Linked DNA regions of Daphnia pulex. The protein of the gene in region 2 purifies or fractionates together with the protein of the main gene of each other region. This does not show direct contact. Links are inferred from orthologs where the notes say so. Each region holds a gene or a part of one and is shown on either strand. Other genes may lie near its edges.

What was found.
Region 1: the proteins of programmed cell death protein 10-like (region 2) and sarcolemmal membrane-associated protein-like purify together in Homo sapiens (affinity purification with mass spectrometry; 3 studies listed by BioGRID and IntAct, counting the BioPlex papers as one, with this or other methods). This does not show direct contact. The link is inferred for Daphnia pulex from reciprocal best matches to the Homo sapiens genes PDCD10 and SLMAP.

Annotation. Positions count from the first base shown.
Region 1 is NC_060020.1:2,412,455-2,416,548, forward strand, and holds the end of sarcolemmal membrane-associated protein-like, read right to left. Parts: intron 3,955-4,094; coding exon of another isoform or gene 3,889-3,954; intron 3,674-3,888; coding exon 3,193-3,673; intron 3,125-3,192; coding exon 2,899-3,124; intron 2,823-2,898; coding exon 2,685-2,822; intron 2,505-2,684; coding exon of another isoform or gene 2,427-2,504; exon of another isoform or gene 1,736-2,426; coding exon 1,634-1,735; 3' UTR 534-1,633; downstream 1-533. UniProt on the Homo sapiens protein: Associates with the striatin-interacting phosphatase and kinase (STRIPAK) core complex, forming the extended (SIKE1:SLMAP)STRIPAK complex.
Region 2 is NC_060025.1:9,340,785-9,344,175, reverse strand, and holds programmed cell death protein 10-like, read left to right. Parts: upstream 1-1,374; 5' UTR 1,375-1,714; coding exon 1,715-1,735; coding exon of another isoform or gene 1,736-1,739; intron 1,740-1,800; coding exon 1,801-2,127; intron 2,128-2,185; coding exon 2,186-2,527; 3' UTR 2,528-2,886; downstream 2,887-3,391. Other genes in the region: group XIIA secretory phospholipase A2-like, read right to left, coding at 388-500, 562-733, 798-865, 934-1,177. UniProt on the Homo sapiens protein: Promotes cell proliferation. Modulates apoptotic pathways. Increases mitogen-activated protein kinase activity and STK26 activity. Important for cell migration, and for normal structure and assembly of the Golgi complex.

The DNA.
Region 1 (4,094 bases), on a different chromosome or scaffold from region 2:
CCGCGCTCGATGTTCAAATAGGTGAAAAAAGTACTTACACTCAACACGCTCAACGACGCACCACACACACACACACACACAGAACCAACGGCAACAGCATAGCCGAGCGCACGGCGGGATTTCATTTCCAGCCGTGCACGATTGTCCAGCTGGCTCTCGGCTGGTCATCATTCCACATCAAGTTTGACCAAAAAGGAAGGCAAAGAAAATCTTGGATCGTAACAAAAAACGATGAATAATAAAATAACGGAATTTCATACGAATCGTGCTGTGCGCTATACTCTTCAGTGTCGAGTGGAAAGTTACGAAAACGTCGGGGATATAACCGCAACTCGCTTTCGCTGCCACCTTGAACTACAACACGAAGAAACAGCATATCATCTATACTTACTTGCATGAGAGAAGAAAATGTACATAAAAGTCGTTCCGATCCGCTTCACGAAAACAGAACCGATACGATTGTCTTCAGATAATCTTTCGGTTCCGCAGCGCGATGAGCATCAATACTCGGTCATAGATCCAGACCAAGAAAGAAAAAAACAAAGTATTGTATTGTCTTGTTAGTTTCTTTTCATTTTCTCTTCTTTCTTTTTTTTTTTGTTGCTGATGTTTAATGGGGCGAGTTAAATAACAGGACACGGGGCAGGGGCAGGTGGGATAGTAAAGAGAGAAAATGGGGAGTGTGTACAATATCCGTAGAAGAGGACTAGACTACAAAACATAGAACATGTTTGTTGTTGGTTGAAATTTTTCATAAACTCCTTAAGATCCGAGGCCTCCCAGCGATGGTTATCCATCTCGCCGGACGGTTATCCGCCAAAGACCTTAAGGAGGAAACGTGACACAAAACTGGGGAGCAGAACGAGTAAATCAATGACCCATCAAATCAATATTATGTGATCCACTCTTACTCTTTCAAGTCGAAGACGCGCGAAGCTGAAAATAATGTCGTTGGCTGGTGAGAAAAATATTAAACTTTCCCTCACACACAAGAGAAAGATGTCGACGATAATGAGCTGGTGGATAGACAGAGGTAGGACGGACAGCAAAAGAAAAAAAAAAAAAGGAAGAAAAATCATTGAGGGGAGCCTATTATTGCACGCCAACTATGCCGTAAAACTAAGCATTTGAAAAACAAAGAGGAACAACATTCTTCGGAGGGGTGTGTGTTTTGTGTGACAGTAGAAAATCATGGAGAGAGAGAGAGATAGCAAAGGAAAAAATAACTCTGCACAGGTCCTGTTAGAAGGTGGAGGAAAGAGGATTCGACTCTCCCCCTCCCCACCGACGTTGTACGTTTTACATACACACACAGAAAGGAGACTAAGCCATTTTCTGTAGCGTTGACGGAAAACACACACTAGTTAATGACATCACTCTTTTGTCATATTGATGGCACTTGGTAAAATTAAAAAGCTGCTGTCGCTAGCAAATATGTTTCAAAAGAAAACACGAAAAAAGGGATATTATCTGCATATCCCGCCATTTGCGTAGATAGAAGTAATTGAAAAAAAAAAAGCTTACAATCGGTAGAAGAACAGGAAAAAAACAATTGATGATGATGATGATGTTTTTGTTGTTGCTGTTATTGTCTCTCTCCTTATTTTTCTTCCGTGTTGTCCGGCAAAATCTCTCAGGGCTCGAATGTAGCCGTCAGCCGCGAGAAGAAGCGGTAGAAGGCCAGGAAGAACGAGATGAACAATACGAGCAAGGGCATGAGACACAACGCCGTCGCCTACAGAAAACGCGCAGACAAACACGAAAAAAAAACAAGAGGCACAGCAAAAAAAAAAACAAAAAAAAACAAACAAACAGAGAAAAAGAGAAAGGAAAATAATCGATGGATCAGCTTTTTTTTGTTCTCTAATGTCCACCGTTAGCATAAATTTCTTACGTCAATGCGGTGTTAGTTTAAGACGAGAAAAAAAAATGAAAGTTAAAGAATAAAGTAAATCGAAGCAAACATACAGAGCGAAAAATGTTTTGTTGTTTTTGTTTGCGTTGTTTTTTGGCCACGGATATTGAACTAACAAAAACAATAAATTCATCTCTAAAATAAATTTTGAAGGCACATAAACACAAGTCGACGAACGAGAGAAAAGAAAGCCAATAATAAGAAGGTAACAAATACAGCTGAAGAAAAAAAATGTGAGAAAACAGAACCTAAGCGAGAGAGAAAAGGAGAATCCAAAATCAAGCAGACTATCGAAGAATTCAAATAGCTTCTTATTTGTTTTGTGTTCAAATCCTTTTCTTATTCCCTCTTCGTTCAGTTTCACGTGAGGAAAAAACAAGAGTTGACGGACTCTCAGCTGACAAAAAGAATATGTCTTTTAGAAGGCACACACATTTAGTTTTCTAAAGGAAGACAAAGGATGAAATAGAATTGGTGCTTCCCCTTTTCTGTCTTTTAATTTATCGTTATTTCAATCCGATGGCCTGAAAGCTATGAGGACCGCCAAGACAAGGACGGCCAACGGGACTACATACATCCAGCGGCCAACCTAGAAAATGCATTCGGCATTCAAAAGAAAAGAAAAATAAAGAGAACAGAAAAGAAAAAAGAAGAATGGATGGATAGAATTATCAACGAACCAAAGAATAATGAAGAAAACTTACAAATTAAAATTGTGCATAAAACAGTGAAAGAAGATTTGGAAGAAACGGAGACTGACTGGACTTACCGTTTTTGACTGAGAAGATAGTAACGAGTAGTTGTCCTTTAACTGGGAGAATTCTTCTTCTAGCTCCTTCTTTTCCGTTTGTACATTATCGTAGTGGCGCCGTAAAGCTTCGAGTTCGTTTCGTACCTCAGACAATTGCTTAAAATAACAAAAACAAAAAAACATAAATTAAAAACTGTGCCTCAAGAAATTTTCAAATAAAATTTCGTTTTACCTGCATGGTAACATATTCTTCCGAATTAGCATCTTCTCCGGAATTAAGTTCCCGGATGCCAGAATCTCTCATTTCAGGATCACGGGAACTCGGTGGATTACTGATTGGACTGCTAAATCCGCTAACCACTCCACTGTCCCGATTCTCTACGCTGAGAGCTAGCGACTGGTAGGCTTGTTGCCATTTCTGGCGTTCCTCAATTTGCTCTATCCTCGACACTTCCATCCTAAAAATAAATAAATAAAAAAGGTTAAATAGAAAATTAATTATGGATAGAAAATGTTTTCTTGTTACTCTTTCAACTGGATGGTGAGGATAGCAACTTCGTCCCTGAGATATTCCAATTCTGAGGTTGAGCCTCTATGAGCGGTGGTTTCACTGACACGATTGGCTTTCTCTTCCTTTTCGTAATTACTTAGTCGTACTGAAATATCGTTGTTGCAAATGAAGTATTTGGCATAAAAAAGTGATAAAAAAACTCCTTGCTTACAGGTCAATAGCGAAATAAGATCCTTATTCTTCGCATTAGCTTCTCGAAGTTCTTGGTACTCATTATTGAGTGAAACGATACTGGAACGGACGAGCTCAGCGAGCTCAGATGGTTCATCAGCGGATTCCTCTTCCTGCTCAGATGAGCCTTTGAGAACGTTGTGCAGGTTTCTAAAGTATTGCTGTAGATGTGCGGCTGTAGACCAACCATCTTGTGCCTCTAGCTGCCGTCTCTCCACTTCTGACTCAAGTACACGGCACTTGGCGCGCGTTTCTTCCAAAAGCTCTGCACCAATCCAAACAAAGGAATAACTTAGCCATCATCCATTTTCGTAGCGAACAGCTAATGTAAAGCTCGACGCGATCAATTTAGCAGAGTAGAAAAAAGAGACAGCAAATGTTCCATGTCAGCCAAAGAAAGAGAAAAAAACAAAATGGGCAAGCAGCAAAAAACGCAATGAAAAGCTGGAGTAGAGCCAAGAAAGAGTTAGTACAATTCACCTTGTAAAATTAAACTACAACATGCCAACTGATTGCGGTAAAGATAACAATCCCACGTGCATGAACCTACACACATCAATTAACAAAAAAACGTCAAGTATCCGAACAAGTCGGAAGCGATGATTGGCAGCAATGTTACGCTCACTAGGGGGTTTAATGGATTAATTTTTTTTGGGCGGAAAAGAGAAAAAAACCGAGTCAGAGAA
Region 2 (3,391 bases):
TTTTGGCAAACTGAAATATTAATTAATTAAATACTTGAGTTTCACTAAAAAAAACTTTTTCAGAGAACTTTTCTCATGACATAATATACGGGACATTTGGGTGGATTACTTGAAGGGATTCTGTTTTACTCCTTACACTTAACTAACGGCGACCTCTTTGGTTCGAAAAGGAAACTGAAGAAATAAAGGAATTTGAAGAGATAATGCATCAAACACGACCAAAATATCTAGAAAATGAAATTTAGAATGGAAGAAATTAGTCAAATTTTGTAAAACCTAAAACTAACACTTTATTATTTAATTCAATTATTTCTAATTTTGATTAGAAATGGAGGATTTTTTTACAATGGATTTAATAGTTAAGCATATCATCACAAAATTTTTTTTTCAGAATTCATCTCTTGCATAGCACTGACAGGCCTTATTCTGTGCTTCTCGATAAGCCTGGCATCCTAAAGCTAATGTTCCTGTGTACATTAACTTTGCAGTCCCTTTGCAGGCTGAACAGAAAAAGGACATTTACTAACATTTTTAGAAAAAAAAAAAAAATTACATTATTACCTTTCATGAACAGCAATGATAATTCTTCTTCATGATTTGAACATACTTTGTAGAGGCACTTTTTAAAATGCAAGTCACACAAATCTTTATCGGCTCCACAGTCATCATAGCAATAATCGTGGGTGTGACAGCATTCTTCTAACTCTTTTAAAGGCAGTTTCTCTTCTTTCCACTGATGATATTATTAGCACAAGAGATTAAATAGAACCAGCACACACAAGGATTTCTTCATTTACCGTATATCCAAATGATCCACATCCATTACTTTCCGGTATGTGCAAAGGATTTGCTTTTCTGATAAATCCTTCAACAAGAAACAGCATCAAGAAGATATTTTAATCCAAGCAAATTTGTTTTTTTATGTAAATTAACCTTTTGGACACGTGTATGGCTCACAATCTTCATCGATAGTTGCGTCAACAAACTGTTCTACTACTTGAATCGTTTTGGCCAACTTAGCAAGCCCATCAAGCCCAGTATGCAAAAAACTTTTAAGGTTGTGCATTGCATTTTTGATTTCATCAAAATAACTTTTTTGTCCGTCGACAAATAAAGCAGAAATGGTCACGAATACTAAAAGAATTCTGATAACTCTTGCTCTTGGAAATGATGACATTTTGAACTAGAGCGATAAGCGTTGCCAGTACGACTGTAAAAAAATTAAACAAAAAATTTATTTCACCAAAAATATAAGAAATCAAATAATATTTTAAAATTCAATTTAAACGTCAAAATCATTAAGTTATAAAAATTAATAATCAATAAAGAATATATTCATTGTGTTTCCTCATTTCAAACAAGGTTGCCTTTTGAAATGAAGTAACAGAACTACGTACGTCAGATCAGATGGTTGAGCGTTATTCCTTTTGCTTATTTATTTGTAAGTGATATGTTTTGTTTATCTTAGATCCAACTGTGAAATTACTACACTGGATATCTCTGTTTCCTTTTCCAAGGTTTTCTTACCTTGTTTAGTACAAACACTTGTCTAGTGGCTTACTTTGATTGAACTCATTCGATCTAGTCGATCAACACACTCGTATTTACTTTCTCTAGACAAGCTAGTTGTAGTTGTGTGTGCAATTTTTCAAGAAATTACGCGATATCCCTATGGAATTTAACTTCTAGTGACACTTATTCTTATTCCAACATCATGCTAAAGCATTTATCAAATGCATGTGACTTTTTTAAGGCTTAAAGTCGCAAACTGTATCTCAACTAATTATCTGTTTTAAATAGGTAATTAAAGTGGCAGAAGCTTCTACAAAGATGACTATGGGAGAAGAAAGCATGTTGTCTTCTTTAGTGTTGCCTATTTTGGTGGGCCCATCTCTGGTAAACTTGGAGAAACAAGATCCAGGTGCTGCCCAACTGCTGAAAGCTGCCTTTAGTAATGCCGAATCTGCCCATCCAGGCCTCTGCCACAGTTTCATTTTGGGACTGATGAAAAAGGCAGAATTGTCACAAAAAGTCAACATGAATGAGAGTCTTTTAAGAGTTCAAGGAGCAGCCTTGGATCAAGAATCACCTGATTACAGAATTAACCGCTCTGAAGATGCCTTTCAGGTAGCTCCGCTTTAAATATCACAATTTCAAATACTCATGATAGCCCCTTACTGAACAGGAACTGTGTAAGAAGTCAGTTGGTTTGAAGAAGATCCTGAGTAGAATCCCTGATGAGATTGGAGACCGCAAAGCCTTTCTGGAGACTATTAAAGAAATTGCAAGTGCCATAAAGAAACTGCTTGACGCAGTTAATGAAGTGGCCGTCTACATAATATTCGGCTCGGGAAAACAGCGCCTGGAACAGCGAAAACGAGAATTCGTCAAGTATTCTAAACGGTTCAGCACGACGTTGAAAGAATACTTCCGCGATGGACAAGCAAATGCTGTCTTCCTGAGTGCCCTCTGCTTGATACAGCAATCCAATTTCATTATTACAACCGTTAAAGATTGTTGTGAATAAGTTTTGTTAAAAAATCTTTCAAGCTGCGGTGAAGGTCGATGCTCGGAGACGTCGCAATTCGGTAGCGGTTTAAGTGGTGCTTCACACACAGTCGTGAATATTTATATTTCAAAAAATAAAAACACAACTTAATCCGTTCTTTCATCGTTTTACACCGTCCATTTTCAGATCAGGTGTGAGTACCCTTGAGGGGGTTGTCTGCATCTCTTCACCCCATTTTTTTTTCTCTCTCTCGTTATCTTATCATCCACAAAATCCTTATTGCTCGCCACCTCCTAGACCGCTCCTAATGATGAAATCCGTTGCATGTTATCCTAGCCCGACCTAACATTCCAGAGAATAAACATTGTTGAACTTTCTATAAGCAGTAATTATAAGCCTGTTTATATATATGCGGTGGTTTCGTGTTATATATATAGTTAAAAAGTATAGAATACACAGTATATCTTCGCAGTCTAACATAAATGTTGAGATTTTATTTGAATAATACAGACCAATTCAAATGTTCTAATCTTTTCTCTTTTGAGCTTCTGAAGAAACACCTTCGAATTTCAAATGTTTTCATTGGTTAGAGCAATCTGTTAAACAGTTTTACTAGCAAAAGGAAGCATGTGTAGCTTTTGAGAGCAATATCATAAACGAAGGGATAACTGCACGAAGAGTATACAGCCAGAAATAAAATAAAACTTGAAAAGTAAAATGTAATAAGGAAAAAAAAACGAAGAAAGTTTCTTCCAATAACAAAAAGTACGCTGTAAACTGGGAGCGGTTTGGCAAGTCTCAATAATAAGCCATTTAAAACAAAAACAAAAAGTAGAGAAGAAATCTACTCGAACAAGTTCCGGAGGATTACGATAGCAATGA